7 linked regions of the Coturnix japonica genome follow. The main gene of each other region encodes a partner of the protein of the gene in region 5 in a complex. Links are inferred from orthologs where the notes say so. Each region holds a gene or a part of one and is shown on either strand. Other genes may lie near its edges. The genes, in order: RBL1, MORF4L1, MTA3, CHD4, HDAC1, MIDEAS and SAP130.

What was found.
Region 1: the proteins of HDAC1 (region 5) and RBL1 are in contact, whole or in part, in a crystal structure (PDB 7SME), measured with the Homo sapiens proteins. The link is inferred for Coturnix japonica from reciprocal best matches to the Homo sapiens genes HDAC1 and RBL1. Residues at the interface, in NP_004955.2 of Homo sapiens: Ile414, Ala415, Cys416, Glu418, Glu419, Phe420, Ser421, Asp422; in NP_002886.2 of Homo sapiens: Tyr849, Ile850, Lys853, Val854, Thr860, Phe861, Gln862, Met865, Lys866, Tyr879, Arg880, Asp929, Leu930, Ile931, Tyr934, Asn935, Val939, Lys943, Leu947.
Region 2: HDAC1 (region 5) and MORF4L1 share a complex: the UniProt entries of both Homo sapiens proteins name them as parts of the SIN3B complex. The link is inferred for Coturnix japonica from reciprocal best matches to the Homo sapiens genes HDAC1 and MORF4L1.
Region 3: HDAC1 (region 5) and MTA3 share a complex: the UniProt entries of both Homo sapiens proteins name them as parts of the nucleosome remodeling and deacetylase (NuRD) repressor complex. The link is inferred for Coturnix japonica from reciprocal best matches to the Homo sapiens genes HDAC1 and MTA3.
Region 4: HDAC1 (region 5) and CHD4 share a complex: the UniProt entries of both Homo sapiens proteins name them as parts of the nucleosome remodeling and deacetylase (NuRD) repressor complex. The link is inferred for Coturnix japonica from reciprocal best matches to the Homo sapiens genes HDAC1 and CHD4.
Region 6: the proteins of HDAC1 (region 5) and MIDEAS are in contact, whole or in part, in a cryo-EM structure (PDB 6Z2J), measured with the Homo sapiens proteins. The link is inferred for Coturnix japonica from reciprocal best matches to the Homo sapiens genes HDAC1 and MIDEAS. Residues at the interface, in NP_004955.2 of Homo sapiens: Tyr14, Gly17, Asp18, Asn21, Tyr23, Gln26, Lys31, His33, Arg36, His39, Leu43, Asn44, Tyr48, Arg49, Lys50, Met51, Glu52, Ile53, Tyr54, Arg55, Pro56, His57, Thr65, Lys66, Tyr67, His68, Pro81, Ala119, Val122, Lys126; in NP_001036783.1 of Homo sapiens: Arg722, Asn724, Gly726, Ser727, Arg728, Phe729, Gln730, Glu732, Pro734, Leu735, Met736, Arg737, Asp738, Arg739, Ala740, Leu741, Ala742, Ala743, Ala744, Asp745, His747, Lys748, Ala749, Asp750, Leu751, Val752, Trp753, Gln754, Pro755, Trp756.
Region 7: HDAC1 (region 5) and SAP130 share a complex: the UniProt entries of both Homo sapiens proteins name them as parts of the mSin3A corepressor complex. The link is inferred for Coturnix japonica from reciprocal best matches to the Homo sapiens genes HDAC1 and SAP130.

What each region holds. Positions count from the first base shown.
Region 1 is NC_029535.1:564,058-568,590, forward strand, and holds the start of RBL1 (retinoblastoma-like protein 1), read right to left. Parts: upstream 2,917-4,533; 5' UTR 2,825-2,916; coding exon 2,475-2,824; intron 2,367-2,474; coding exon 2,166-2,366; intron 1,057-2,165; coding exon 992-1,056; intron 900-991; coding exon 771-899; intron 659-770; coding exon 498-658; intron 1-497. UniProt on the Homo sapiens protein: Key regulator of entry into cell division. Directly involved in heterochromatin formation by maintaining overall chromatin structure and, in particular, that of constitutive heterochromatin by stabilizing histone methylation.
Region 2 is NC_029525.1:17,848,125-17,852,393, reverse strand, and holds the start of MORF4L1 (mortality factor 4-like protein 1), read left to right. Parts: upstream 1-1,245; 5' UTR 1,246-1,345; coding exon 1,346-1,385; intron 1,386-3,842; coding exon 3,843-3,889; intron 3,890-4,269. Other genes in the region: ADAMTS7 (A disintegrin and metalloproteinase with thrombospondin motifs 7), read right to left, coding at 35-116. UniProt on the Homo sapiens protein: Component of the NuA4 histone acetyltransferase (HAT) complex which is involved in transcriptional activation of select genes principally by acetylation of nucleosomal histones H4 and H2A.
Region 3 is NC_029518.1:21,315,062-21,318,896, reverse strand, and holds part of MTA3 (metastasis-associated protein MTA3), read right to left. Parts: intron 3,120-3,835; coding exon 3,061-3,119; intron 2,096-3,060; coding exon 1,971-2,095; intron 862-1,970; coding exon 710-861; intron 58-709; coding exon 1-57. UniProt on the Homo sapiens protein: Acts as a component of the histone deacetylase NuRD complex which participates in the remodeling of chromatin.
Region 4 is NC_029516.1:69,351,993-69,356,297, forward strand, and holds the start of CHD4 (chromodomain-helicase-DNA-binding protein 4), read right to left. Parts: upstream 3,076-4,305; 5' UTR 2,984-3,075; intron 2,149-2,983; 5' UTR 2,085-2,148; coding exon 1,988-2,084; intron 53-1,987; coding exon 1-52. UniProt on the Homo sapiens protein: ATP-dependent chromatin-remodeling factor that binds and distorts nucleosomal DNA. Acts as a component of the histone deacetylase NuRD complex which participates in the remodeling of chromatin.
Region 5 is NC_029538.1:4,504,927-4,507,918, forward strand, and holds part of HDAC1 (histone deacetylase 1), read right to left. Parts: intron 2,412-2,992; coding exon 2,273-2,411; intron 2,200-2,272; coding exon 2,058-2,199; intron 1,932-2,057; coding exon 1,839-1,931; intron 1,539-1,838; coding exon 1,430-1,538; intron 1,253-1,429; coding exon 1,112-1,252; intron 633-1,111; coding exon 524-632; intron 444-523; coding exon 313-443; intron 193-312; coding exon 46-192; intron 1-45. UniProt on the Homo sapiens protein: Histone deacetylase that catalyzes the deacetylation of lysine residues on the N-terminal part of the core histones (H2A, H2B, H3 and H4).
Region 6 is NC_029520.1:23,416,196-23,420,030, reverse strand, and holds part of MIDEAS (ELM2 and SANT domain-containing protein 1), read right to left. Parts: exon of another isoform or gene 3,823-3,835; intron 1,427-3,822; 5' UTR 1,192-1,426; coding exon 1-1,191.
Region 7 is NC_029524.1:1,640,108-1,643,942, reverse strand, and holds part of SAP130 (histone deacetylase complex subunit SAP130), read right to left. Parts: coding exon 3,738-3,835; intron 2,842-3,737; coding exon 2,670-2,841; intron 1,442-2,669; coding exon 1,337-1,441; intron 636-1,336; coding exon 274-635; intron 1-273. UniProt on the Homo sapiens protein: Acts as a transcriptional repressor. May function in the assembly and/or enzymatic activity of the mSin3A corepressor complex or in mediating interactions between the complex and other regulatory complexes.

The sequences.
Region 1 (4,533 bases), on a different chromosome or scaffold from region 5:
GAGCTGTGCTGTTACCTCTGCCCCTCGGCAGGGAGGAACCTACTGGGCAAATAGAGACATCTCCACGGAGCTTAGAAATACCTCCAGGAGCAAAACCACACAGAACAGTTTTTCCACCTGTGACCCCAACCTCCTCATTCAGAGCACTGTGTTTAGCCCATGACACACACCAGGATCCAGACAATCATGACAGCTACTCCACAAGATAACATCATCTTTAATTAAAACAGGTTATCACCTGCAATTTCCATACTGCCAAGGAAGCAAGGATTCTCCACTGACATAAGAAGCCAAAGCAGAGGGGGGCCCTACAGCACTCATCATTAGAAGGGAGAGTTCAGCTCCGCTCCTGCCAAAATGCACAGAGGAACAGACCTGAACCAACACAAGTCCTCTGCCTACCAGTGCACCTTCCTCCATACACACGGGATTTCAGTGTTCAAGACAGGACCGTCAGTATGAGCGCTATCACACATCCTTCAAATAGCAATACGAACCTTCCTATCAAACAGCTTAGAAATGTATGGCTTGAAGTAGTGCTCCTTTATTCCTTTCGCTTCCACAAGAAGCCCATCATGCAGCTCACACAGCGTGGCAATGATGCACGGGGGGTCCTCTGAGGCTTTCATCTCTAGTGCGTGGAAGTCAGCTGGTAAACCTGGGAATGGGCGAAGGGGAAAAACAAAACAACCAACCTCCATCTTTACTTAAAGAAGAATAACCAAAGGAACAAAGTGTATTTCATTTTGAATAACTGATCCCCACCCTACCTTTAAACGACGGATTTAGCAAATCTCTCCGATTTGGACACAAAATGGCATTTGCAAAAACCAGGTCCAAGCAGCACAGAAGCAGATGATAGGAATTTACTAAATCATCCCCAATCATACGGAAATTACCTTTAAGAGACAGCACATCATGTCAGGCGACGCAACAGAAGTTTGTAACTCAGAACGCATGCGAAACACGTGGCTGCAGAGCACAAGCCTACCCTTAGTGTACACAAACAGGGTCCAGCAGAAGTTGAAGAGATCCTTAACACCACACAGCACCCGCCTGTCAACGAGAGGGGTGGGAATCAGTCTCTGCTTCCAGGAAGCTGAAACATACTGCTTAGCAAGTTTCCTTCTGTTTCCATGCTCAAAGCAACAGACAGAGCCATCACCTCATGAGTGCAAACTAAGGCACACTGTAAGCTGCGGGCACACAGAGCAGCTCCTCTTACTGCAGCCTCCTGGATAGCTCTGCAGAGCTTCTGGCACAGCATCACCGACTGCTCTGAGCCAACAGCTGCCTGTGCTTGGTGCCCCAGGCACACTGCTTTGGTGATGGTGTAATTGCAACTGGAGTCTCATAGAGCTGCACGCAGAGCCATGCTGAGGGCTCTCTCAATTGCAGTGCATCTTTCTCCTAAACGTTTTACTAATGCATCACACATCCCTTCAAAACATGCAACCACAACTTGCACTGCAGCTCTTCTGGTGAATAGTCTAGGAGAAGAAATGAATGAAAACCACCTGACAGAGAAGCTAACAGTGCGGTCACGCTAATGAGAGCTGCTCTGATGAAGGAACATTAACAGTGCATGGACATTTCTCCTTGTGCAGACGCAGCAGAACTGGCTGCAGCAGCAGCAGCTCCCTTCCCATTTGTGCACAAGGAGCTACACCAGAGCGGGTTACCACAAATTAACCCCTTGCATCCAGACCAGCACGTGAAGCAGCAGAAACCCCCAGCAAAGAGCCAGCTCAGCTCCTGCTGCTGAAGGTCGTATCCTCATCAGAGCAACCAGGGACAACCACACAGTCAATGCAGAACAAGGACAAAGCCCTTGAATCTAGAAGCGCTCTGTGCATCAGGAAGACACCAGAAGCAGTTACAGTGTCACACAGATGAGCACATTGTCTGCATTTTTCTCCCACAGAAGGGCAGCGCTCACCTGGCACTCACATACGGGCAGTCACATAAAGCAGCCGCACGTTGGAGCCCCGCGGACGGAGCACCCTGAGAGGCACGGGGGGACTGACAGCCCAGCCTCAGCCACCGCCCTGCACCATCCCTGCGTTCACACTCAGTCACTTCAAAGCTCGGCCTTATTTTCTAAGCACAACAAACGTTCCCGTTACTTGTAAACCCATGCAAAGCCACACGGCGCTCTGCAGTACCTCTGCTTCCTGCTGCGCTGGGGTTTCCAGGTCTCCTCGTTGGGGTTTTGAAAGACATCCAGAAATATGGGCTCGAACTTCCTGAAGATGACGGTGGACACCTCGAAGTTCCTCTCCAGTCGCTCCACCCGCTCCCGGAACTCCTGCGGCACGTTGGCCATGTCCATCCACTTCTTCATTTTGCTAAAGAACTGAATCAGACTTAAAAGGAAAAAAAAAGAAAGAAAAGCCGACGAGGAAAGCGCCACTTTATTATCGGCTTTAACGCGCGTCCGTTCTCAGCGCCGCCCCGCGGGCCGAGCTGCGCACCTGAGCCTGGCGGAGCGCAGGATCCGGGTGAGCGACACGCCGTTCCCCTCCACGGTCCCGCAGCCCACGGTGGGCAGCACGCGGCGGCGGCACGCGGCGTACAGCGCGCAGGCCAACCAGTGCTGCGCGTCCCCCTGCAAGGCAACGCCGCGCGTGGGGCCGGGGCCGACTCGCCACGTCGCGGCCTGACGCCCGGCCTCACCGCCCACCTCCAGGCTGTAGGTGCCGCGCAGCGCCGTGAAGTCGCGCAGCGCCTCGGCCGCGCTGCCCGCGTCCAGGTTGAGCTCCCGGCACAACCGCTCCACGGCGGCGCCGAGCTCGGGCTCGAGCAGCGGCTCCGTGCGGGACATGACGGCGGCCCAACAACGGCCCGACCCGGCCCGGCCGGCACCGCGCCGAGCTGCTCTGCGCGCCAAAACCCACCACCGGAAACGGCGCGGCCGCTTCCGGCGCCGTGAGCGCCAACGGGCGGGAAACGGGAGGGGAGCGCGGGGCTGGGAGGGGCTGTGTGTGTAACGGAGGGGGAGCGGGCGGGGCGGACGGAACCAGGACGTGTCCGTGTCCGTGTCCGTGTCCGTGTCCGTGTCCGTGGGATGGCTCGTCCCTGGGCCCGTCCCATGTGCGCGCTGTGCCCGCCGCTCCGCAGAGCCGCCGTCCTCGGTCGCGGTGCGGGGCGGCCTCGTGTGTCACGGCGCTGCCCACAGCGTCACCTTGTGCCGAGCGGGGCTGCGGGGCCGGGACCGTCCGCACATGGCGCCGTGCGAGCGGCTCCTCGGGCAGCAGCTCGGGACCTCGGAGCTGCCCCAGCCCCGCACGGCTCCACGCACCGCCGGGAACTGACCCTTATCGCGTCCGTCCGCCCGAGGAACCGAACGGCGACCGCTCAGTAACGGCGCCGCCCTGAGCCGGAGCGACACCGCGAGCCGCTGCTCGGCACCTGCGGGCGTTCGCCGGGCTCCGGTGCAGGTGTCGCGGTGTCAGTGGGAGAAGGACCGTCCCGCAGAGCGGTGCTGCCCGAGCGCACCGAGCGATGCCGGCCGGTACCGCGGCCGCTCTCCGGGCTCCGCCTCCGCCCCCGGGCGCCCCGCAGCGCTCCGGGATCAGCCCGCCGTGCCTTGGGCCGCTCCGCTGCGGGAGCACGGCGGGACCTCGGCGCTGGTGCCGAGAGAAAAGCGAGGAACCGGTATCACAGTCAGGTGAATTAAACGTTCACATATATTTGCTGAAAAAAATTATATACATCTGTAGCAAGGCTCTGCCAAGTCTGAAAGATAAGCATCATCTCGTCACTAAATTAAAAAAATAAAAATCTGACCTTTAAATCTTTTTTTTGTTGGTTTTTTTTTTTGTTGGTTTTTTGTTTTTTTTTCCTTTTCTTTTTATCCACATCCAAGAGCACAGACCTTTATTTGTTAGCGCGTTTGGTGGGGATGTGTTTGTGTGGGGATCCAGGACAACCCGCGGAACGTCGGCGTTTCTTTGGGATAGGATGGAAAATGAGAAGGAGCTGCCAATGCCTCACAGCGCAAGTAATGCACAGAGCACATCGGGTTGCAAAAGGGTCACAAAGCAGTCAAAGAGAAGCCTAAACACCCAGAGACGGAGCGGACACGGCTGATAATAGAACAAGGTACAGAGCATGCCAGCTAATTAAATAAACGCCACTTACAACCCTGTTCCCTACCAGCGTAACCCTGGAGAAACCATCCCGTGCAAGAAACGGACCATGAAGAGATGTCTGCGTCCAGTCACAGTAAGGCTTGAAGATACAGCAAGTTTTATAGCATTTGTATTTTAAGGATTTAGGGCAAGTACATGTTCTTCTACTGAATAAAAAGAAAGTTAGTACTTAAAAGGTTCAAAAATATAGCAATCGTGATTTTTTTTTTTTTTTTACATAAATAAATTATATCGATTTTGGATTTAACAGCTGAGAAAACCCTTTTCTGCTTCCACTGGAGGCAAAACTGAACAAAATGTTAGTTAAATAGAGATAGCAGCATTTCTAAGAAATCTGTCGACAGTGATCCAGTATCTGTGCTACGAGGAAGTCATTAAA
Region 2 (4,269 bases), on a different chromosome or scaffold from region 5:
CCCTCGTTCATCCCCACCCGCACCCCGCGCTCACCTGGCTGCTCGGTGCCGCCGCTCCGCTGCCCGCCCGCGGCCAGAGCGGCGGCGAGGAGCAGGAGCCGTCCCGGGGCCGGCATGGGTGCGGGCAGGGCCGGGCCGGGCACTGAGCGTCTCCCGGCCCGCGGGGCCGCCCCGCCGCCGCTGTTCTCCCGGCCCGGCCCCGCCGCTGTCCCGCAACTGCCGGAGCAGCTCGGGAGTGACCCCGCGCGGCCGCCGTGAGCGGGACACGGCGTTCAACACTTCGCAGAGTGGAAAGCAATAGGGTTCTATGGTGAGAACGGCCAAACAACGTACATTTGCTCTAAATCATCTCCTCCCACCGGGAAAACGCGTGGTTTTGGCTCCTCTGTGAAAGAGCTGCCTCTTGTTTCACAGCAAACCGACACAAACGTCAACCAAAGGCACTTTGTTACTGCTCCATTGCAGCTGTCTTGTTTCCCATTAGAAACACAAGGGCTGAGTCCCTTTGTACATCTCTGTCATTTTGGGGTTGTTTTTTTGTTCTCTTCACGATAAAACACAGCACTTGGATCCTTTTGTTTAAGTAACTCCTTGGCAGAGCACAAAGACGGCAGGGAATCATAGTCCCTTCCTCACTAACTCCGGACTGCTGCTAACTGAGCTCATTATAGCACTTCCCTTCCCTGTACCCATCAGAACTCAGCAGTCAGCTCTATTGAAGCCAGAAGGCTGAAATGTTAAAAGAACAGCAAAGACACGGGTTTGGTTTCAGATAAGCAGGATTGGAAAGATCACTTGTGAGTCAGGTTTAATGGCTTTATAATGACATTATTCCAGTGACATTTTTCAAACGAAGCAATTCCTGCTCAGAACTCTGCATTTCTATGCCTAAATCCAACAGCAGAACACTACAGATGTTACATATAGGATATAGTTTACGTAGGCGCAGCTGAGAAGGGCACATGGACAACAAGTTCGGCAGCGCCCGGCTAGCTCAGTCGGTAGAGCATGAGACTCTTAATCTCAGGGTCGTGGGTTCGAGCCCCACGTTGGGCGTAAAGTTTTTCCTTCTCTCTATATTTTTATCACGTGCTCCTCAACGGCGCTCGGATCCGCACCGCAACGGACGGAACCGAACGTACAGAACCGGATGGACGGAACCGGCCCCATCTCGGGCCTGTCCCGTTGCGCCGCCCCGCCCCCCGCACTACCGATCCCGGCATGCTGAGGGCTCGGAGCAGTGCGCATGCGCGGTGCGGCGGGGGTTGGGGCCGGCCGCGCAGGATGCGGCGGAGGTGGTGAGACCCCGCGGGGAGGGGGCGGGAGGAGGGAGCCGCGCTTATAAATGGCGCCCAAGCAGGACCCCAAACCCAAATTCCAGGAGGGTGAGTGGGGGGGTCGGCGGGCTGAGCGGAGCTGGGGGGGCTCGAGGGTGAGCGTTGAAGGGGCGGGGGTCGGCAGGGAGCGAGGCCGGGCCCTCGCGGGCGGTGGGAGGCCGCTGTGGGGCCTTGGTAGCGCACGGCTGCGCGGAGCTGGTGGCGGCTGTGGGCGGGACGAGCAGGAACAAAGGGAGCGGTTGGAGGAGCCGTGCTGCGCACACACTGTAGTGCTCGGGGATGGGGCCCTGCCGCCTGTTTGGGGCCCCGTTATGACCCCCAGGCGCTGTTTGGGGCTCAGCTTTTGCCCCTCTGCCGCACAGAAGGAGAGTGGGAGGAAAAATGGGCTCTTCTCTTCCTGTCCCTCAGCTTTCCTGCCCGTAAGAGCTGGGCGTGCCCTTCTCCCCCGTTATTCTCCATGTGCTTGTTTTCCTGCAGGTGTTACATCTCCTAGATGGGTTAGATCTGTGTCTTGGGATGGAGATGAGCTCTGTGTAACGCTGCCCTTGCTGGGAAGCTGGGTTAGGGCTCCTTGCACAATCACAGGGCTCTGCAGCCGATGCTTGTGCTGGAATCCATACCTGTATGAGCAGCAGAGATTTTAGGATGAATGGTAGGGGTCTGCTGCTTACGGGGCTTATTTTGTGTTTGTCCCAGTTTTAAAATAATGGTTTATGCTAATACAGGTAATGAAGGTTTGTCCCCTTTTCCTCTGCCCCATCTTCACTGTGCCTTCTGTTTTGAGCAGCTGGCTTTGCAGAGCAGTTGCTCATGGTGGCCTGACACAGCGACTGGATGGCAGCTGATGTCAGGACACATTCGGTTGTGCCACATGTCAGTAGCAGCGTTACTGACCTGCAGAGACAATCAGGATTTAATGTGAGCTTCATGTTGTAGTGAGTTAATGCAAAATGTAGTGAACTGGAAGCTGAGCAGAATGAGCTCAGTGCAGCATTTAATTGAAGAAGTGTCCCATGAATGAAGCTTCCTGAAGTGCTGAAACTCAATTGTTTTATTACGGCCATCACAGCATGGCAGATAAAATGCCATGGAGCTTGAAAACCTCTCCTTAAAATACTGCCAGTAGTGTTGGGTGGGTTTGGCAGCTGTTATGTCACTTCCTTAAAGGAATGGGTGAGAAGGAGGCTGGATTGCTGTGATAACAGGTGAAAGCCTGGAGCTCCCAGTGTCCAATTGGAAGCAAGGATACCCCTTAAAGTGAAGGAACTGCCACTTTTTTCATGTAGGCTTCAGAAATGAGATCAGATTTGGTCAAGTGTGAATTAATGGTTCTTTGGGTGTTCTTGCGTCTGTTCACTGAGAATGGAGAATATTGAGTCTTTCTCAGATGTCGAGTTCAACCTTTGACTTGCTTAGAGGAGATATATCTGATATCTTTGCTTTCGCATCTGTTCTCAAGATGGCTTCGACATCAAAGGCAAGACTTGTGTCACATCCTTCACACACAACTTGTGAACCTATTGTTTCTATAAATACTCTGCATGTAAAACAGTTGTAGGAGGGGGCAGCCGAACTGAGACTTCCCCATTCCTACCCTGCTTTGTGTTTGAGCAGGGCGTGCTGGCATGGGAGCTGTTAGTACACAGCACAAATGCTTCATGTACTTTGGCTTCCTCAAGTGTTAGCAGAGGACTAAAAGGGTCACTTGTTGGCAGCTCTAAACCCATAACCTGCAAATCGGCTGTTCCTGAGCTGTGGGGCTGTGGGGCATCCCGTCGAGTCCCCCTTTCCAGCCCATGCAGCACCAGTGCTGGTGGCTCTGCTCTGCCTTGTGTATTGTAGCTGTGTGCTACACACTGGAGTGTGTTACACAGCTTCTCTCTCAGCGTGTGATGCATCACAGCTCTCAAGAAGGAAACATCTGCACGCCAATGTCCTCTGTTAAGTATGCTCAAATTCCTGCAGTAGAGCTGCGCAATAGGAGCTTACCATTTAGAAGCTGGGATGGAGGCTGAAGGATGAGCTCTGCCTGCTCAACACCACTAAGTGAGCAATTTTTCTTGCTGTTGTACAAGCCTTTCACTCTTGTGTCCCACAAGTGGGTTGGGGTAATGTCAGAATTCTTCTTCACTGAACTAGAAATACCAGGAATTGCACTTCATACCAGGAAGGGAGTGATGGTAACACTTGCTTTTGTTTGTCAGCAGCTTAAGATACAGGCACCTCATACCAAGAGCTGGTTCCCTTCTCTGAGTCAAAATGCGATGTCATGAAGACTGAGGAATCCCTTACAGCAGAATGGTTTTACCTGCTGAAGTTTGTTTGTACCAAGCCAGTGCATTTTCATGTCTGTGTCTGTAGTTATGGCTTTGATGGAGGTCTGGGTGTATCTCTGAGTTTCCTGCTAGGTTGCTGTTGGATTTATTCTGTGCTGTACTTGATAACATGTTTTTGAGGGTTGGCATTGCTTTTATTCTAAGGTGGCTTTTTGTGACTGTCTTTCAGGTGAACGAGTGCTTTGTTTTCATGGACCTCTCCTTTATGAAGCAAAGGTAGGTGTGGCTGCTTTTTACTGCAGGTGGTTCTGACTTGCCCAGGAAAGCAGAGAACTGCAGGAGCTTACTTGCTGTGCCCTACCTATCTAGGGTTAATGACTGAAGCTAAGAGGAAGGAAAACACACTCATAAGTACACTTCAGTTTTAAGCCCCATGGTTCTGTATTATGGCGAGGCATAGAAACACCAAAAGACCCCAACAAAACCAACTGAAGACCCATAGTAGCACTCTGCAGCTGTTCTGGTGAATTACTAAGGTTGCATCTTTTGTGTTGAACATCTCTAATGCGTGTCTGCTCAGAACACTGGGCAGCAAACTTGGTGTTTGCAAGCTAGCAAGTTGAAATGAGTAACCAGCACAGGAGTATATCAGCAGG
Region 3 (3,835 bases), on a different chromosome or scaffold from region 5:
ACGAACTGGAGTTCCTTGTGTGGCCTGCCGGGACATATGAGTTCTAACATGGGTTTCCTACAGAAATAAAACAAAAACATAATAATAACACATACTTGAATTGCACAATCGGAATCTTTCCTACTAGTGACAGGCCGTACCAAAAATAATTCTGTTTAACAAAAGAATTATCTGGTGTTATTTGATCCTGTCACATCAAGTTGAAAGAACAAGCAGCCTGCTTCCACCAAACAAATGAAGAAAATGAACAAAAGATATTTTCCTCATAGTCAATTAAATAACAATAATAATAATCCAAAAGTTGAATAAATTCACAAGGTTAAAAACTCATATGTATAAGTGCTATTCAATAAACTGGGACTACGTATATGAAGCCATGCAACATACTGAAGAGTGCTGCTGTGAATTGACATACATTATGCCATTCTAGATGTTTTATAGTTAATATACCAATTGCTTGACAAGATGACATTTATCTAACAAAAATGCAAGTGGACATTTGTCCACATTTCTATTGGTCAAATAAAGAAAAGTCAGGACTAGCACAATGTTTAGTTGCACAAAAGACAGGAAAACGATTAATAAGATAAGTTTTGTAACATCACGGTTCAACACATATATAAAATGCATGCCATTAATTATTCAAACCACAATAGTGTTGTGAAGACATCAAACTTCACTTCAGGAAGGCTTATCTACACAATCCTACCTCTGCAGGTTGGCTGGAAGAGAGTTTATCTTCATCTGTCTGCGTGGGCATTTTCAGGCCACCATATTTCTTCCAGTAAATCCAACAAGATGCACACAATCTACACTGCATATTAGGAGGACCCCAAGAGTACCACTGGTGAGACTGTGAAGCTAAGGATGAGAGAACACCACAAATAAATTGCATGCTACATTCAGAACAGTATATTCAAATGCTGTAATGCATTCCTCAAAAGCAGTATCAAGAAAAATATTTAATTCATTTGAAATGAAGAAAATAGAAACTTATCTAAAAGCACCTCAAAGTCAACTCCAAAGTGAGAACAGTGAAGTATTTCTGCATTTACTTTCCAACTTAGGACTCCCTATAAGCTTTTCTTCCAGGGTTCTTAAAAGACAGAAGAAAACCAATCAGGAAAAAAAGAAAATAAACCCCTCCACTCTCACTCTCTGTGACTTCTCAACTTTAACATGGCTAATTAGGACACTTGTTACATAAAGAAAATGTTTAAGATCTCTGTTTCCACTCTGTGACCTCCAAGTTGCACAAAATCAGAACTTACAAGTCAGGATCCTTTTAAGAAAAGGGTAAGCACATCTGCTAGCTTTGAAGATGCATGCCTATCTTTACCCCATACATGTTGAGTCTCATTTAGAAACGTTAATTTAGTCTTTTATTTTTGTAATCGAACTTATCAGAAAATTATTCCTTAAAAATATAACTTGAAAAACAACAGATGTATGTAACTAACTATATCAGAAACTGTTATTTCAAGAAGGGCCAATCACAAATTCACTAAATGCTAGAGAATTAAAAAATAAATAAATAAAAATTAAAAAAAAATAAAATTACTCGATCATTTCATACCCAACACTGACAACAGCAAATTAAAAACAAAAATGAAACAAATAAACAAAAATCTGCAACAAAACCCTTAAAAACAAATTTAAAGGACAAACAAAAGTAAAGATTTAGAAGCCCGAAGGTAACAGAATTTCATCATTCAATACTTGATTGTTCCATACTTACTAAATTGCTGATGAAGAAAATGAATAAGTGGATTATTGTTGATTAATGTTAAGAGTATTAACATTTAATCAATTTATTGAAGGCAGATCTAATCTGAAGTTATTTCTGCCACACAGTTGATCAAAAATTATTTCTTATAGTATGCAAATAAAAGTATGTAGATGTTGTTTAATGTGTATTAAGATTAGTCAAACTCCTAAATAATTCCAAAATTAAACAAAATTTTACTTACTATAGCAGCTTTCACAAGCCCTCCCTATTACTGAGGCTGGCGCCTGGTAAGAGGCTCCCATTGCTCCATTGACTGTAGCAGGTTTCCCAGTGTTGTTGGATATTTGATTGGGATTTGGTTTATTGCTTCAAAATAAAATAAAATAAAATAAGTCATTTTTCAGAAATTATTTTCTAACCCTCTTATAAAAATGAAAACAACTTAATTCCAGAATTCTGTTTGGTGACAGCATCTGTACAAATTAGCAGAGGACTAATCTTTATGTTTCTCCAGTATTTACAGTACACAGTTGTTTCATAAAGAGCTGCTTCAGTACCACACAGTGCACATTTACAGATCTTCGTATAATGGTCAAGCCTGTTTAGCAAGCTACTAAAGACAAAGCCTCAAAATAAAATAAATATGAAATAGAGATTATATCTTGGTTCTATAAGCCACACATTAACAAAAGCAAATATAGAACCAAGTTTAAATCTAAAGAAGTAAAATACAAATCTCTGAGGAAAACAGCATTCATTAATAAGAACTGATCAAAGGCAAAAGATTTTGGGCTGAGTGCTACCTTTAATTTATAGCCAGAACATCTTGTCTCTAAGTCAAGAACAGATGATATCAAGAAGATAAAACTGTAACCAATGTGAGTATCTGATTTTATGTAACTACATTAACAGCCTCTATTTCGAAATTCTACATTTACACAAATATTAATATTAAATGTAAATATAAATGGTATATTTAAATATAAATATTAAAGGTAGAGCTACAGAGATTCTGAAGCAACTGCTCCAGAAAAGCCGCTTTTAAATGACAAGACCCTTCTTGCATGTGAGCAGTTCGTGTAGCACTTTATCAGCTTTTACAGAAGTGCTCGACTTTCCAGAACAGAAAGTTTAGTGGTCAAAGTCAGTGAGTTGAAATAAAGACAAAGAATTTATATACACGTAGAAATATTATCAGAAAATGCTATATACTGCTTGTATATAAATAATAAAAGTATCAGGACAATGATGAAGGGAATATCACGTGTGCTGATACACATTACAGTTTCACCTATAAGTTATTAAAAAAAGAAGTTTATTGTTGTACTCACTAGGTGGGGATGTATACTTGTTTCAATTTACTTTCCGCTTCAGCTGCTTTCAGACGTTTCTAGATGAAAAATTAACACATTAAAATACTTTATTATCTTCAAGTACACAAAGTCATAAAACTGCACACAATCCAATCTTAAATTCTTTGTGTTTTATTCCACAGTTCTACAAAAGACTCTAAAAAAAGTGTAGAAATGTGGAAGACAGAAGTCATTAAAAAATAGAGCTGTCTATTTTTATTATTGGTTTGAAATTACAGCACGCTGTCCTTCCTGGTAAAACTCAAAATCCTCAGCACATGACAACAAATCTGTAGAAACAACAATGAATATGTATATAAATTACATTTTGGGGAAAAAAAAGTATGACACTGTAGCTAACCCTTATCACAAAATAGATGGAAAACAAGTGAGTGAAACTGTACATGATGAGTCAAGTCAAGTAACTCAATACTTCTTGTGTGCTCTATCAGCTTGAACTGATATTTTATAAATAGTACAAGGAAGTGGAACAGGAAAGTCCACCAAGCATCGGCATTTATTAAGTGTCATTAAGATTCTGTCAAGAACACAGCAGTAGCAGTAAAGCTACACTGCTATAGAGATAATCTGTGATTTTTCAAAGGTATGACTTCCTTTCAAGAAACTCAAATGCATGTTGCATTGAAGGCACTATTATTACCTTAACTCCAAGTGGTTTATTTAAGTTAGTACTACTTGGCATGAATGACCTTCTACACTTGAAGGTTATCCATGACATATTGCCAGGACACTT
Region 4 (4,305 bases), on a different chromosome or scaffold from region 5:
TTGAGTGTCTCAGCCTCTGACAGAAGATCTTCTTCTGGCTCTTCTTCATGCTCTGGAGGGGAAGAGGTGACATCTCACTCAAAGCCCATCTATGCACTACAGCCCAGCATACTTCTCACAGACATCCCTGAATCTGCCTACTTCTTGCTACATACTTACAAACACAGAAGAGCTTGCTCACCCTATTATTGCTTACACCTTGTTACTGTTCACAACACTTACAGTTAATCATATGGCAAGGTACTACCATACACCCTCTCTCCAACAAGGCCCACTTCCACAACATTCCTTCTCCCAACTGAGCAGTTCCTAGGGACCAGAAGTTTGCTCTAACTGAATAAGAAGAGGGAAGGGCACAGAGTAGATTACCATAACTAAAGGAATTAAAGCAGCAAGTACATTTAGCAAGTATGTTTGAGACCTGAAGATAACGTTTCAGTCCTCCAGAATAAAAAAAGTGTTCTTCTTTTCACCAGAACAGAGTACCCTACAGCTTACAGACATTAAAATACATTCATAACACAGTCGAGCAAGCCACTACTTGTCCTCCCCATAGGTAAGCCGCTACTTAGCAACTCAATTCTAATCCAGACTTGATATAGCCTTCTCTCCACCCCTTCCCTCTTTGTCAGCAGCTAGCAAGCAAGCGCCCAGCGCAGGGACAAGCAGCCAACTCCCCATCACCATCCCTTCCATCTGTGCCCCTACCTCTCCCAACCCCAGGGAGAGCCGGGCAACCCTTTCCTTTGTGGCAGGCTCAGAGAGCAGCCCAGCCATTCGCTCTCCCCTGCCGCCCCGCCCATTGCACACAGCCAGAGTCACTCCTTCTCCCTCCAAGGGAAAATGGCCTCCTGACCACAGGAGCTGGGCAGGATGGAGGCAGCCTCAGGTCAGGTAGCTGCAGCAGGCAGACAGAGCAGAAGTAAAGCCCTCGGAATTTGGGGTCTTGCAGTCCTGCCACCGTGCCAACTAATTAGCAAGTCTTTGCTCACATAGTCCTGCAACACCAGCTCATATGGGGATTCCACACCTTCTCCAGCTAATTCAGAGCTTAAGTATCCCACCCCTTCCAATGCTTTTCCCTAAAGCTTTCAGGTCTGCAGTGATTTTAACAGTTTGTTTTCCTCAACAAGGCTTCCCTCACAAGGCTTAATGACCATCTCCCCTCTACCTAAGAGGTACCAAATGCAGCTCAAGTCAATACCCTAAAAAAAAGCCAAGCCTTCCACAACATTTTGCCTCTCCACTTGTAACGTTTTCTCATTTGATATTACAACACTACAACAGGCATGTCTTGGTGGGAAAACTCAACAGGCCAACACATCAGAATACATACAACCTCTTTTTGCAAGGAAACAGAGAAGCCCGATGCTTATGGCTTCCTTAGTGCACGCATCAATAACATTCAAAACAGCAGAGTACCCAGGGCTCTAACTCCAGTCTCATGCAGATGAGGATGCAAGCAAAAGGGACAAGGCAACAAGGTAAGGTACAAAGACTATGAGAAAAGCAAAGGTGAGTAGGCAGTACAGAAAACGAGCCACCAGAAGCCTCAATAATTGGGTGTGGCAAAGAAAAAGTGGGTCATGCAAGAGCCCAGGGCAGTTTGCTCTGGACAGCAGCAAGCCTGAGATCCCAGATGAAACAGCCAGACATCCTCCCCTTTCACATACACAGCCACCTCCCCCAATCCAGGAATATGAAACTCAGACATTTTGGTCAAAATTAAGACATAACACTGACTGCTCACTCCTTCCCAGAGCATGAGCCCCCACTGACAACCTATGGTATCTCGGAACAAAGTCTGCTCCACCTGACACAAAGCCACGAGCCTCACACTTGGAACTGGGATTCCAATAGTAAAGATCAAAAACATACATTAACTCCTAGCTGAAGGGACATTCCTTCACAGAGCATTTATTCCACATATCCAGCCCAAGGAAAGCATTACCCCACCTCGCACGCTTGCCCTGCAGGCCCTCAATACCTTGATGCTGGGGGATAGCGTTGTTCAACAGGATCTCCATCTCATCGTCATCACTGCCCCCCGAGCATGGCGACGGAGATCCGATGCCCGATGCCATATCCTCTGAACCAGGGGAGGCCCAGGCTCACAGAAGTGCTGCCTTCCTGCCGGTGAAGCCAGTACTTCATTGAAAAGAATTAAGAGAAAGTTATAGCAGATGCAAAACGCGGTTTCCCAAGCAATAGTGCAACCAAAAGGATTCAGGAGAAAAAGCTTAATGATTTCATTACACCGGGAGCCGCCAGATAACATGTACTCTGGCAGCAGGTATCACATCAGAGTTGTGATGAAGCAGGCTTTAAGACAGCAGACGTTAAACTGAGTCAGCAACTCATTCCTCACAGGGAGCCAAAACAGCTGTCCTATAGGGAACATCCTCCTGCCTCCCGCAGCCGGTGCCAGACCGGAATGAGCGCCCTAGGTTATTTCTACCTTCGCCTGGGAGAAGGCGGGGAGCGGAGCCGGCCTTCCCACGGGCTCCTTGAGCCGCCCGGCGTTCCGTCAGGGCGGCGGCCGGCGGTCCCGCAAGGCGGCGGAGCCCTCCCGACCCAACTTGGCGGGCCGCCCGCCGCGCTGCCCCCGGGACCGACACAAAAGGCCCCACGGCCGCTCCCCCGCCCGGAGCGCAGCGGGGCCGCAGGGCGGGGGACGGCTCGGCGGGGGCGCGGGGCGGGGCCGGGAAAGTCCGGCCGGCGGGCGGCGGGGGTCCGGCTCTCCGCGGGGCCGGCTCCACACCGGGGCCGCACGGTAAGGCCGGGCACGGCGGGGCGGCCGCTCGTCGGGGCCGCGCCGGGAGGCGGGGCGGGCAGCGTCCCGCGGCCGCCGCGGTCCCGGGTCGAGCCGCGACCGAAAAGCGGCCGGGGGAACAGGCACCGGGGAGAGCCCGCGGGGCGGCGGGCACAACGCGAGGCACGGCGGAGAGGCCGCGCCCGCCCTCGTTCCCTCCCAGATCCTCACCCGGCTCCAGACGGCAGCTCCGCTCCGCTACCGCCGCTGCTGAAGGGAAAATGGCTCCGGCCCCGGCACCGCCTCTTAAAGGGGGGAGAGGGGAAAAAAAAAAAAAAAAAAAAAAAAAAAAGAAAAAAAAAAAAAGCAGGCTCCACCCCACTCCCGCCTCCATCCCATAATATACCCCGTGAACCTGGCAACAGACCCCGCCCCCGTATCCCCGGCAACACCCCCCCCAGCCGAGACATCCCATAATATTCACTCTCCCCTCAGAACTTCCCACTCGCCGCCCGGCCCAGCATCCCATAATACTCGCCCTCTATCCCCCCTCGGGTCCTTCTCTCCCTCCCCCCCCCCATCGGGAGCATCCCATAATACTCCCCACCTCTAACCCCTCGCTCCGGCATCCCATAATACCCACGCCGGACCCCCCCCTCCACGGACACCTCCTGGGGGTTTAAGCAGCCGATCCCCTCCACATCCCATAATAGTCACACCCCGGGCACGCATCCCATAATAGTTCTCCCCTCCCCCTGCGCGGGCAGGCATCCCATAATAGTCGCCGGGAGCCACCGGCCAGCCTGCCATCCCATAATACCCGCAGCGGGGCTCCGACACCGCCCCGCCCGCAGCGGGACGGGCCCTCGGGGGGCACCGCCATGGCCGCGGGGGGCACCGCCATGGCCTCAGAGCTCAGAGCTCACCCAGGTGTCCCAGCCCGCACGCCCGGCTCACACCGGGTACGGTCCCCCGGGTCAAGCAGCCACCGGCTGCACTGAGTGTGGGTCTCCCGGTGACCTCTGCCGCTGCTGGACCGTACGTCGGGGATGTAACGCGAGGTGCACAACGTGGTAGCGCCCTAAAGCTGTCCCCGTCCTAAAGGAATGCGGGGCATCCCTGCTCTGCGCCCTGCTGCTGCCCTACACCTGGCACCATCGCCTCGCCCGTACGCCCTAATTGCACACACGTCGCCGTGCCGTTAATGGTCACTGTATGGCACCGCTCGCCCCATGGCACCTCCGTTAGCTCGCCGGGCACCCAGCCCTGCCCACCTCAGCCCATGAACAATGGCTGTCAGTGTCTGCTGGCTCCTCCCCTGGAGCACCGCCGCAGCATCCCGCGCTGCCCATGCACACAGCCGTTCCTCCATGCACACCCTGTGCCGCTAGCACAGATGGGCTGGGCGGTGTGGAGCCCAACTGCATTGTGTTCCTTCGTGTGCTTATGGAGCCCTGCTAATACAACCCTGCCTACACAGCCCTCTGACCTCTTGCCTTACACAGGTGCCGCCCTGTCCTCTGTCCCTTTGCATTGCGTTGGTTCTCTCAGCC
Region 5 (2,992 bases):
CTCTACACAGCTGGGAGGGCTTCCAGCCATAGCCCTCGTGCTTACCCTTCTTCTCCTCCTCCTCCTTTTCCTCTTCTGTTTTCACACGTTTGGCCTTCTTAAAGTTGGCAACGTTTTTGCGCCCTCCTTCCCCTTCATCTTCGGAGTCAGAGAATTCTTCATCACAGGATATTCTCTTATCAGAATTGCGGACTGAGAGTGAAGGGGAGAAGAGGTCAGAAGATACTGCGCACTAATGCTTGGAGATGTACAGGCTCTGTGCAGTGCACTTCCCAGCAGAGCAATGCAGCCATGCCAGAGGCAAGCACCTACTTGAAATGCGCTTCTCAGGATCTTCTTCCTCTTCATCTCCACTGTCTTCCTGAACAGCATCCTCAGGAATTGGCTGCATCTGGACACCAGGGGCATGAGGCAGCATGCGCAGATTCTCAAAGAGACGCTGCCTAGAGCCAGCCAGGAAAGGAACATGTTTGTATTTACCCAGCAAAAGGTGTCAGCCATGTGAAGAAGGGCAAACACTTACTTGATCTTCTCAAGGTACTCGTTGGTATTTTGGTTAGTCATGTTTGAGGGACTGATGTGCAGCTTAAAGTCTGGTCCAAAGTACTCAAAATAGTCATTATATGGGAGTTCTGCATAAGAGTTAAAATAGAACAAAAATCAAATCACCTCTGGACCAGTAATGAGATCCCTCATATACAGCAGATTTCAGTGCGAAGTAAGAGCACAGCTGTACTTTCCCAGAGGTAGGAGTTGACCATTTCATAGCCCAAACTCAGATCAAAACAGCCAGCTTAGCAACAGGGCAGTCTAAGCTCACTTGGCAGTTAAATGTTATCAGTGTGAACAAAAGATAGCAGTAGAAGGTCATCTCGTTTGCAAGACTGCTGGGTATCTCTTGATGGAGGGGAAAACTAGAAGGCTGTAATGCAAACAAGAGCAACTACTGCAAACCACAGACTCAAAAAGCTCTTCCACAGTAACAACCAAGAGCTAATGAAACATCTTGCTGTTCCTGCCTCCCTGCAGCAACACTCCCTCCCTGTGCTCTGTCACTAGGTAAGTAGCCATTGTCTCTTGTCTTGCCTCAAAAGTTCCAGGGGAAAATTACCATTTGGGATCTCAGTGTCCAAAGCCACAGCAGTCTCATAGGTCCAGCATCTGGCCACGTTGCGGATTGTGTAGCCACCTCCTCCCAGCATCAGCATAGGCAAATTAAAACTTTTGACAAACTCCACACACTTGGCATGACCTGCAGCAAAGGCAGCAGGGAAAAAGGCAATAACGCCATGGCACAAAGACCCATTTTTCAGTGAAAAGTAATAAGATTACTTATGCCAATTTAGCTCAGGCACTGTGCTGCACAGTTCTGGCTTCTTGGCATCACAGACCCAGCCTTGTTATTTTGATGGAAACACTGTATTCTTACCTTTGATGGTCAGATTAAAACAACCCAGCCTGTCCCCAGACAGTGAATCCGACCCGCACTGCAGGACAACTGCACTAGGCTGGAATGTCTCCATCACTTTAGATATCACCTAAACAAGAAACTCATTGTTACACTTTCTCCACAGGACAGTGTCACAGCAACACAGTAATGTCCATGTCAGCAAGTGACGTGAAGACATCCCTGGTGTTCCCACAGCTGTTGACTCCCATATACTGGGAACACTGGGGCTCTTACCAAGAAAAGCTAAATGATAACAGGCTGCAATTGTTAGGGAGGAACACAGCCACTGAGGAATCTTACAACAGCAGTCTGAGTCTCCTTAAAGAATGGCTCCATGAGCCTCCCAGTGACAAAGTATGATGCACAAAGAATCACTCAGCACACTTACCGGCTTGAATATTGCCTCATAGGACTCATCATCAATCCCATCCCGGAGGGGATAGTTGACAGCGTAGTACTTGCCTTTGCCTGCACCAATGTCCTGTTAGAGGGAAAGACAGGACAGAGCACAAGGTCACCATAGCACACAAACTGCACAATCAGTATGACGGCAAATGGAAGAGTGATCACATTTCAGAGCAATTTTCTGCTAAGGTTCCATTCTCACCCGCAGGTCCCCTGTTCCTGGGAAGTACTCTCCATACTTATGGAAGGACACAGTCATCACACGGTCTGTGGTATAGAAGGCTTCCTCCACACCATCTCCGTGGTGAATATCAATGTCAATGTACAGGACCCTCTGGTGATACCTAGGATCAGAAAGGAGTCAAAATGCTGCATTTCATCAGAGCAAATGGGAAGAGGGCAAAGAACTGCACCTACTTTAAGAGCTCCAGGATAGCCAGGACAATATCGTTGACATAACAGAAGCCAGAAGCCTCTGACTTCTTAGCGTGGTGAAGGCCTCCTGCCCAATTCACAGCAATATCTGTCTGTTGCTTGTTCAGCTTCACAGCGCTGGCTGTTGGGAGAAGAATTACAAAATGTTAGCACAAGGGCAAAGGACCAATGGCAGAGGCTCAGGGGTGAAGCACAGGTCTCTTGTCATCACATCATTGTTTGTGTGTGCTTTGGGCACAAACCCAAGGGCTTAAACACTGGATGTCTCAACAAACAAACAAAGGAAATGGACGAGAAACGCAGCCTCTGTTTCGCATGCACACACTTTTGGCTGCTTCCCCCACCTACACCTCAGAGCACGAGATCTGCACAAATAAGTGCACAGCTTTCTAGCCCAGCTCACACACGAAAACAGCCCAGAATTCCCAGTGTGCCAAACAATGGACTTTAAGGAAAGGTTTTACCCAATATATATTTAGGTCAGTCACTGAATACGCATTTAGACAAGGAACATTCTCTCCCACGGCTCCTTTGTAAACTTTCTGCAGTTTTGCAAGTCTCCAAGGATTAACAGAAGTGATACATTCTGGGGACGCACAATCTTGGGATCACAAAGCACAGCTACTTCAAGAAACAACATCAGAACGCTGCGGTCAGCACTGGTAGGTACTGCTCAACTGTGTGACAGGAAGCCAAGATTGC
Region 6 (3,835 bases), on a different chromosome or scaffold from region 5:
CTTGGGATGTGAATAGCTACTTTTGTTATGGGTCAGTGATTCAAGTGGCTGCTGCAATGGGACTTCTTGCTGATGTGTTTGCCAGTGATGGAGAAATAAATTGCCAGATTGTTCTTCTGCCTGCTTGGAAGCTGTCACTTCTCCTGTAGATGTCATCAGGGCACCTTCTTTAGAGAGTCTCCGTGACCTTCTTGGAAAAGGAATCTGGGTCTGAGGTAGCACAGTCTGTTGGTTCTGCTCTGTTAGAGCCTTGAATAGTTCCTGGTTCCTCTCTGTTTGCTGAAACTGGTGTGCCATCATGTGATGCTGAGGTGCCGCAGCTGCCACATGAGGCTGTGCTATGGAAGTAGTTTGCTGTAGACCAAAAACTTGTGTGGCAGCCTGTTGTTGCTGCTGCTGCTGAGGATAGAAATTTTCAAACAGTTGTAGCTGGGGAAGAGCTTGCTGTTTTTGTTGAGCAGTAAATGCTGGAGTGGAAGAAGCTGGGGCTTCTTGAAAGACATGCAATAATTCAGGAAGACCTTGCTTCTGGCCTTGGTGACCAAATGCAAGCTGAAAAGGCTGTAATGGCAGACTTTGATTCTGCTGCTGCTGTTTCTGCATCTGATGAAAGGAATTCATTTGTGCTTGCTGTCTAACCAGAGCTTGCTGCTCCAGCTGAGCCTTCTGGGACATCATTTGTTGGACTGCATCTTCATACAAATCCATCTGAGACACAAATACTCCTTTCTCTTGATTTCTTTTAAGGGCTTCTGGGTGACCATAGAAGCCCGGGGCACCTGCATTGGCATGGGGTCCTTTTGGATTGCTCCCAAAAACCATACTGTGGTTCCACATTGCAGATGGAGACTGCCAGTGGGCATCGCCTCTCTCTGGCAACCTGTTTCCCATTAGTGAATTCTGCCATTTGACAGCTGTTACTGACTGGGACATCATCACTGATTCTCCCCTATCTTGACTGTAAACTGAGTTCATCAAAGCAACATTGCTGGGGGCACTTGTTAATCCTGCTGTGTGAGGAATCTCCATAGTTTGGGAGGCTGGAATATTCCCTCCGTGACCATAATACTGTCCTTCTTTAAGCTGCTGCTGCGGCTCTTTTGATGACGCAGTTATATCTTGCTCATTAAAATAATTAATTCGTTTCCCAGTCCTTTTGGTTGAAGACTTTTGCTGAGCCTGAAGATTCATGATTCAGTCTATTCTTCCAACTGCACACACCGTATTTATAATACACCCATCCCTGAGACTGGGGGAGAAAAGGCACATAAATCTCTCTTTTCCATTCAGTATTAGTAATAAGGGGCAGGAAAGAAGTCCAGATGAAAGTGCCTCCACTTCCTTTTTCTATGTGCGCTTCTCACGCTTCTTTTCACTTTTATCCTTTGTTGTTCACAGGTCAGTAGGGTCCACTTAGTTGTAGGTCCTGAAATAGAGAAGCAATTACAGTGAATCATTAACAGATAAATGGAATATAAAAACTCATGCAATAAGCAGTTATGTGCATATCTGTCCTATTTCTGACGGAAACAAAGATCTGGACAGTGTGTGTAAGAAATAATAGATATGACTTGCCAAGAGAATGTAAAACAATTTAGTTTTACAAAGTAGATATAATACATTTGCATGATGCAATACCCAATTGCACACAGGCTTCTGACTAATCAAACTCTAAATGCTTTTCTCTTAAACTCTCATCTGGACAATTAGCCAGGATAATCTGAACTCAAAAACACAAAACAAAACAAAACCTTCATGACTCACCAAAGAGAAAAATAATGTGTCAGGCCACATTTCCCAAAGACATTCAAACACACTAAGGCTGCAGCCAAACACACAGCAAGATGCTCCAGTGAATGTTTTGAAGAAAAGAATCAGGCAACAGCCCATCACCCCCTACTAACTCCCCATCATTATAGTTGCTTTCTGTCATGGTTTTGGCTGGGATAAAGTTAATTGTCTGTATGATGATGTGTTTTGGGTTTTTTGTGAAAACAGTGGTGATAGCACACTGATGTTTTACTTATGGCAGAGTAGTGCTTACACAGAGAGCCAAGGACTTCTCATGCTGACCTACACAGAGAAAGCTGGGGGAAACAGGAAGCTGGGAGGGGGCTCAGCATCAAACTGACTAGAGGGATTTTTCATATAACATGGCACTGTGCTCAACAGTAACTACTGGGGAAAAGAAAGAGGGAACATTCGCAGTGAAGTTTGTCTTCCCAATAAAGTAAAACATGCGATGAGCCCTAGTTTCCTGGGAGTGGCTGAACATCTGCCTGCAGATGGGAAGTTGTTAATGGATTCCTTGCTTTGTTTCACTTGTGCACCTGGTTTTTGCTTTATCTAGCAGATTGTCTTTATCTCAGCCTGCAAATTCTTCCACTTTTACTGTTCTGATTCTTTCCCATCCCACCTGGGGAGACTGAGCAAATAGCTGTGTGGTACTGAGCTGCCCACCAGGCAAGACAAACCACACTACTTTCCAATTCAGAACTACCTATCGGGCATCTACATGCTGCAGAAAAGGGCCTGCTCAAGCTTTAAGATGGTTTTTTTCAACAGCTGAAAGCAACTGCTCTTGCTCAGGTCACACTCGCGGCAAAGCAGTTCAGTTTTACATTTAGTGAAATTGTTAAACTGTGAACAAACAAGTAATGATAGGCAAGTCTCTGTTACTGTCTCTTCTTGATATACACTTCAAGACAGATTGTGCCAATATAATTCTGAAAGATTTGTAAGATATTTTAAGATGGATTTAAGATATTAAGACATTTATAGCATACTTTTTACCATAAAATCAAGCTTCCTTTGATGAATGAACTTAATTCTCAGGCATCAGAGGCGCAGGTACAAACAACAATTATAGCTCTGTACCCCTTCAGGGATTTTGCAAAACATTTGAGACTTTCCCACCTGAGCTCAGCTGGTCATCAGGAATTATGGGGAAAACCTTTAGTAAAGCATCACTTGTAAGTATCAACTAAATGGCCTTAAATCTCAGAGACCCGAAAGCATGAAAGAGAAACACTTTTTTTGACTGACGAAAACAGGTTTGCAAATTCCCTATTACTAAAATAATACACTTTATTCCAGAGTCACAAAGTGTTTTAGAAACAAACATGCAGTTTAGGGATCAACTGCAGGAGGCACCTCTTCTTCCTTTATATGAAAAGGCAGTTTTCCTATTTGTACTGTACGTACTGGAAGGAATTTTCAAAAAAGAACAAGGCTACTGCTCAGAAAAACTGTCCTTGAATTTCACAAATCTGCACAAAGCTGCTAAGATTAACACACACACTCCATCAAAACCTGAAATAAATCCTTTAGTCTCTCTGTATAAGATGAAAAATAATAAGAAAGAACTATACAGCACACTAAAGTTCAGTAACTTGAGTTTCCTCAAAATGGATACGGCTACAGTGCAGGTTTTATTACTATGGCAGAGTTGGTAGTGTGTCAAGGAGGAAAAGACAAAGGGTTTAAATTAACTTATGCAATTTCCACCTTGGAGGCCAGGCTTGGCTCTGGTTCTAGTGGAACCATAGGCCTGTGTTTCACAGAGCAGTGACTCACTTCCTCAGTCTGTTACATAGCTGTTCCCTCTGCTCCCTCCCCCTTCACCCTGGCTACAAACCATGGATCTCTGCCACCGCATATCACAGAGCCAGGGCGTTCCTTCCTTTTCTAAGTGCAACTTCTCAGCTCATTTTCCAGTCCTCTTTCAACAAGACTAAAGGAACTCTAGGAGAATTTATGGACGTGTGATAGAAAAATATACCTTTTGAATTGTAACTAGTACATCAATGAGTGAAAACTTACTTGATGAAATCCC
Region 7 (3,835 bases), on a different chromosome or scaffold from region 5:
ATTTTATTTACTGGGCCATTAAGACTTCATACTGTGCTCATATAGCATGTCATACCTCAGTCATGTCACAAAACCAAGTCCCTTGTTCTATATTGAAAAGCAGTAGGCAGGGATCAGAACTATAAGAAAGTGAGGCGTGAAGGAACTCCTTGACTTATTTTCTGTGCTACTGTGAAAGAGAAGTCATTCCATTTTCAGGTTGCTTGTGTTGAAATCCTAATTTATCCACTTTCTCAACAAGAGAAACACCTTGATGCTTCAAAAACCACCTACCAGATACCGGTCGCATTATGTCCATAGGTTCCACCTCCTCTTTGATTTTTATCTCTGGCACCACAGGTCCCAGCACTGCTGAAAGGGCCCCACTCATGGTTGCTGGAGGAGCAGGAGCAGCCACAATTGTGGTAGAAGTCGGTGGAGCAGCTGGGACGGCTCCTGGAATGGTGGACAGAGCTGCTGCAGGCTGCGAGGTGGGGCTGGCTGCGGCAATGATGGTTGGAATGGCAGAGGGGGGCTGCTGGGAGGAAGGAGGAACCGCGATGGTGGGCTGCTCACTGCCTTGGTTGGACACAGCCTCCATAGACACTGTGACAGGAGTGGCCATGGACACGTGAATCTCAGGTTTTGGTTTGGCACTGTGACATTGAAAGAAAAGTAAAACAAATTGATGTCAACTGCATCTCGGTCACAACCTTCTAGCACAAAGTAAATGAGACCAGCTGGACTTGGGTCAGTTTCTTCCTGTACCAGTAACACCTGGCTGGGTAATGACTGTAGTAGCAGGAGTGTGTGTCATCTCAGCTGTGCTCTCTAAGCCCTTTGTCTAAGGTGCTGTTCTCTTCTAATGCACATGCACATCTCACGACTGACTGCAGATGGCCTCAAAACGCTCACAAAAGGAGCAGTGCAGCTTCACAGTGCAAACAAATAGAACGTGTGCCCAAAGCTGTACTGCCCTCATCCTTTTTGTGAGAGCTCACACTCTGGGGCTAGTGGTTTTAAAACAATGAATTACAAAAGCCACCGGATACAAGTGAAGCAGGTAGAATTCAGCTTCCTTTAGAGTTAACGTCAAAGAATTATAGAGAAAAGTTCTACAGCACGGCCTTTAACACAACATGGTGATTTTCTTGTCACTACCTCCACCCAAACTCATAACTGTACCCTTTAAAAGCCCATCGCCTCAGCTTCGGAACACAAGTACATCCATTCAAACTCATCACACTGACAAATATAAAACACCTTTTCCAAAAGAAAGCACCTCAATGCCCAAACACCACAAATCAGACACACAAATGAAGCCAGTACGACGTAGTTGCTTTTCTCCCTGTCTTACCCAGCAGGCCTTGGTGATCCAGACGTGCTTCGCATCGTATTCTCAACACGTGTGCTCGCTACTTCAGGTGGCTGAGGTGGAATTAAGCTTTTCCGGACTGCCAGGCTGTAAGACAAGGGCACATCTGAAGTTCCCACCTCTGATGCAAAGATAAACACCACTGAAAGGAAAGGAATCAATCCCCTCTTGCCAAATCCAGGATCGGAGTCAAATCTCTCTCTGTGTGCACTCACTCTAACCAACCTGCTATAGAAAGTCTTGTTCTTAACCAAGCCTCTAGGTTTTATTTTCTTTAAAGATAAGAGATTAGTTGCTCTGGCTGAGACTCCCTCACATTTGGGGTTTCTCCAGAAATACCAGCCTTACTTTCACTTTGCCAGTCAAGGCATCTTATTGAGACTGCCAGGCTCCAGATGTGGGGGGGGGGGGGAAGGGAGATCTGGCCACACCAACATCCCACATAACCTCAGGACAGAGCAAATTATCCGGAACTAAACAGCACAGCACTAAGATGGGCAACTGCTTTACTTAGTTGGAGCAGACTGTGCCAAAGCCTGGCTCCAGGATCTCCAGACCTGCACGTGGACGTTACACAGCTCAGTGCTGCACACAGAAAAACATTTAAGAGACTTTTCAGTCCCCTGTGAGGCTGAAAGAAAGACTGTCTTCCAAATAATCAGACGCTCAAATGGGAACATTCTCCGGTGATCTGCAGCTGCTTCTGTAATTTATGCCTTGGTTTTACAGCTTGCAACTTCTCTGCCTTAAAGGATTCCACCCAAATGAAAAAGAAGCACCACGGTTTAGCCTCATAGCACATATCAGCTCCAAACATATTCAGTCATTAATCAGGAGGAAATGGATTGTTAATTCTAATGCTTTCTCCTGCCTCTTTTATTCAGGCAATTGAAATTAAGCTAGAGAACATGAAGTATTTTAAGTGATTCCCTCCCCTTTCCCTAATCAGTTTGCACAGCAGGGTACCAATCCACCCTTACTATTCATCCACACACCCTTCCAAGAAAAGCTCTGAAAGCAAAGCATGGATTTCTAATTTTAGTAATTGACCTCTTTGGATTTGAGGCTTTCTTGCTTAGCTTAACAAAAACCACTTTCCCTTTAAAGGTCACTTTCAAAAGACATCTTATTACAGAGAGGAGGAAGCAGCTATGATCCATCCTGGAGGAGAAGAAACTGTGCTTCACAGATCAGCAGGTCACTTGCAACCACTTGCTGACTGTATAACGTCCTATCCACAATCAAATACTGCCATGTAGCTGGGCTAGATTGAACACAGGTGCCATTTCTGCGTCCCCCCTTCAATCTTACTCACCCATCTGTGGTTGGTTTCTTCCGCAGGATGCTGGGGCGTGGGGAAGAGCCCTGTGCTGGGGCACTGGCACTCTGGCTGTGGGTCTGTACAACTGTAGTTGCTGCAGAAGCAGTGTTGAAGGTGTTGCTAATAGGGTTGGCTACAATGGTGGCTCCATCTGCCAGTACTACTGCTGGGGAGGATGGATGTTGGCAGAGCAGAGAGAGGAACAGAGGAAAAAGGAGCAGTTACTGAAGGAGGTCTGACAACAAAGCAGGTGTCTGCAGAACAGATGCTGTCTCTGCTCCTTTGACTCCCCCAATATTTAGCTGCAGCGCTTCCAGTACTCTATAACTAACACCATAACTACTACTAATCTGCCAACAAGGCCTCCTGCAGGGCAGATAACAGCCACCCCCTGCCTAACAACTACTGGCTACAGAAATACTTCTTCCAGAAGAAATGGAAGACACACAAATTGCCAGGGAGGTCAGCAACACAACAGGGGCTGCTGGTGGAGGCCACGTGGCAACTTTGAACTTTGTAAGTGAGCTGGCAGCTCTGCTCAGATTCTGAGCTGCTCACCAAGCCCTGCCAGGAAAACTAACATGCAGAACAACAAGGCAGGGAGTCGCAGTGCTATCTGCCAGCACAATGGTAGCTCCTAGCTGCCATTTTCCCTTCAGTCCATCACTGGGATCTGATCACACAAACCCTTCCTTGTGAAAAAAGGGCTTTTAATCACAGTCTGAACTGGAGGCACCTCACCATGTTTTACTGCTGCAGTGACCCAACACAGCTGTAACAGTTCAGTGAGCATCTGCTTGTAAATAGCTCTTCCCACAAGGATGGACTGAAGAGAACCAATGACTGCACTGTCAAGTTTTTCCTGCACACACAACCCATCCAACACTACCCATATATTCTACCCAGAGTGCCTGAAAAAAGCCAATGAATTGCATTCACTAATTATTTAGTGAAGGAGAACATTCATGGGGATGTATCTGATCCACCACAATGTCATAACCCAGAGTTAAAGAACCCCCTTGAGGCAGAGCTGTACAGGAGTTATGGGTTCAGTCCACTCACCTGAGGTCTTGGTGTCAGCCTGTGGCTGCTGAGCGCTGATGGGCGCTGGCTGCAGCCCCTGCGTGCCAATGGGTGCAGCTGGGTGCAGTCCTTGAGTC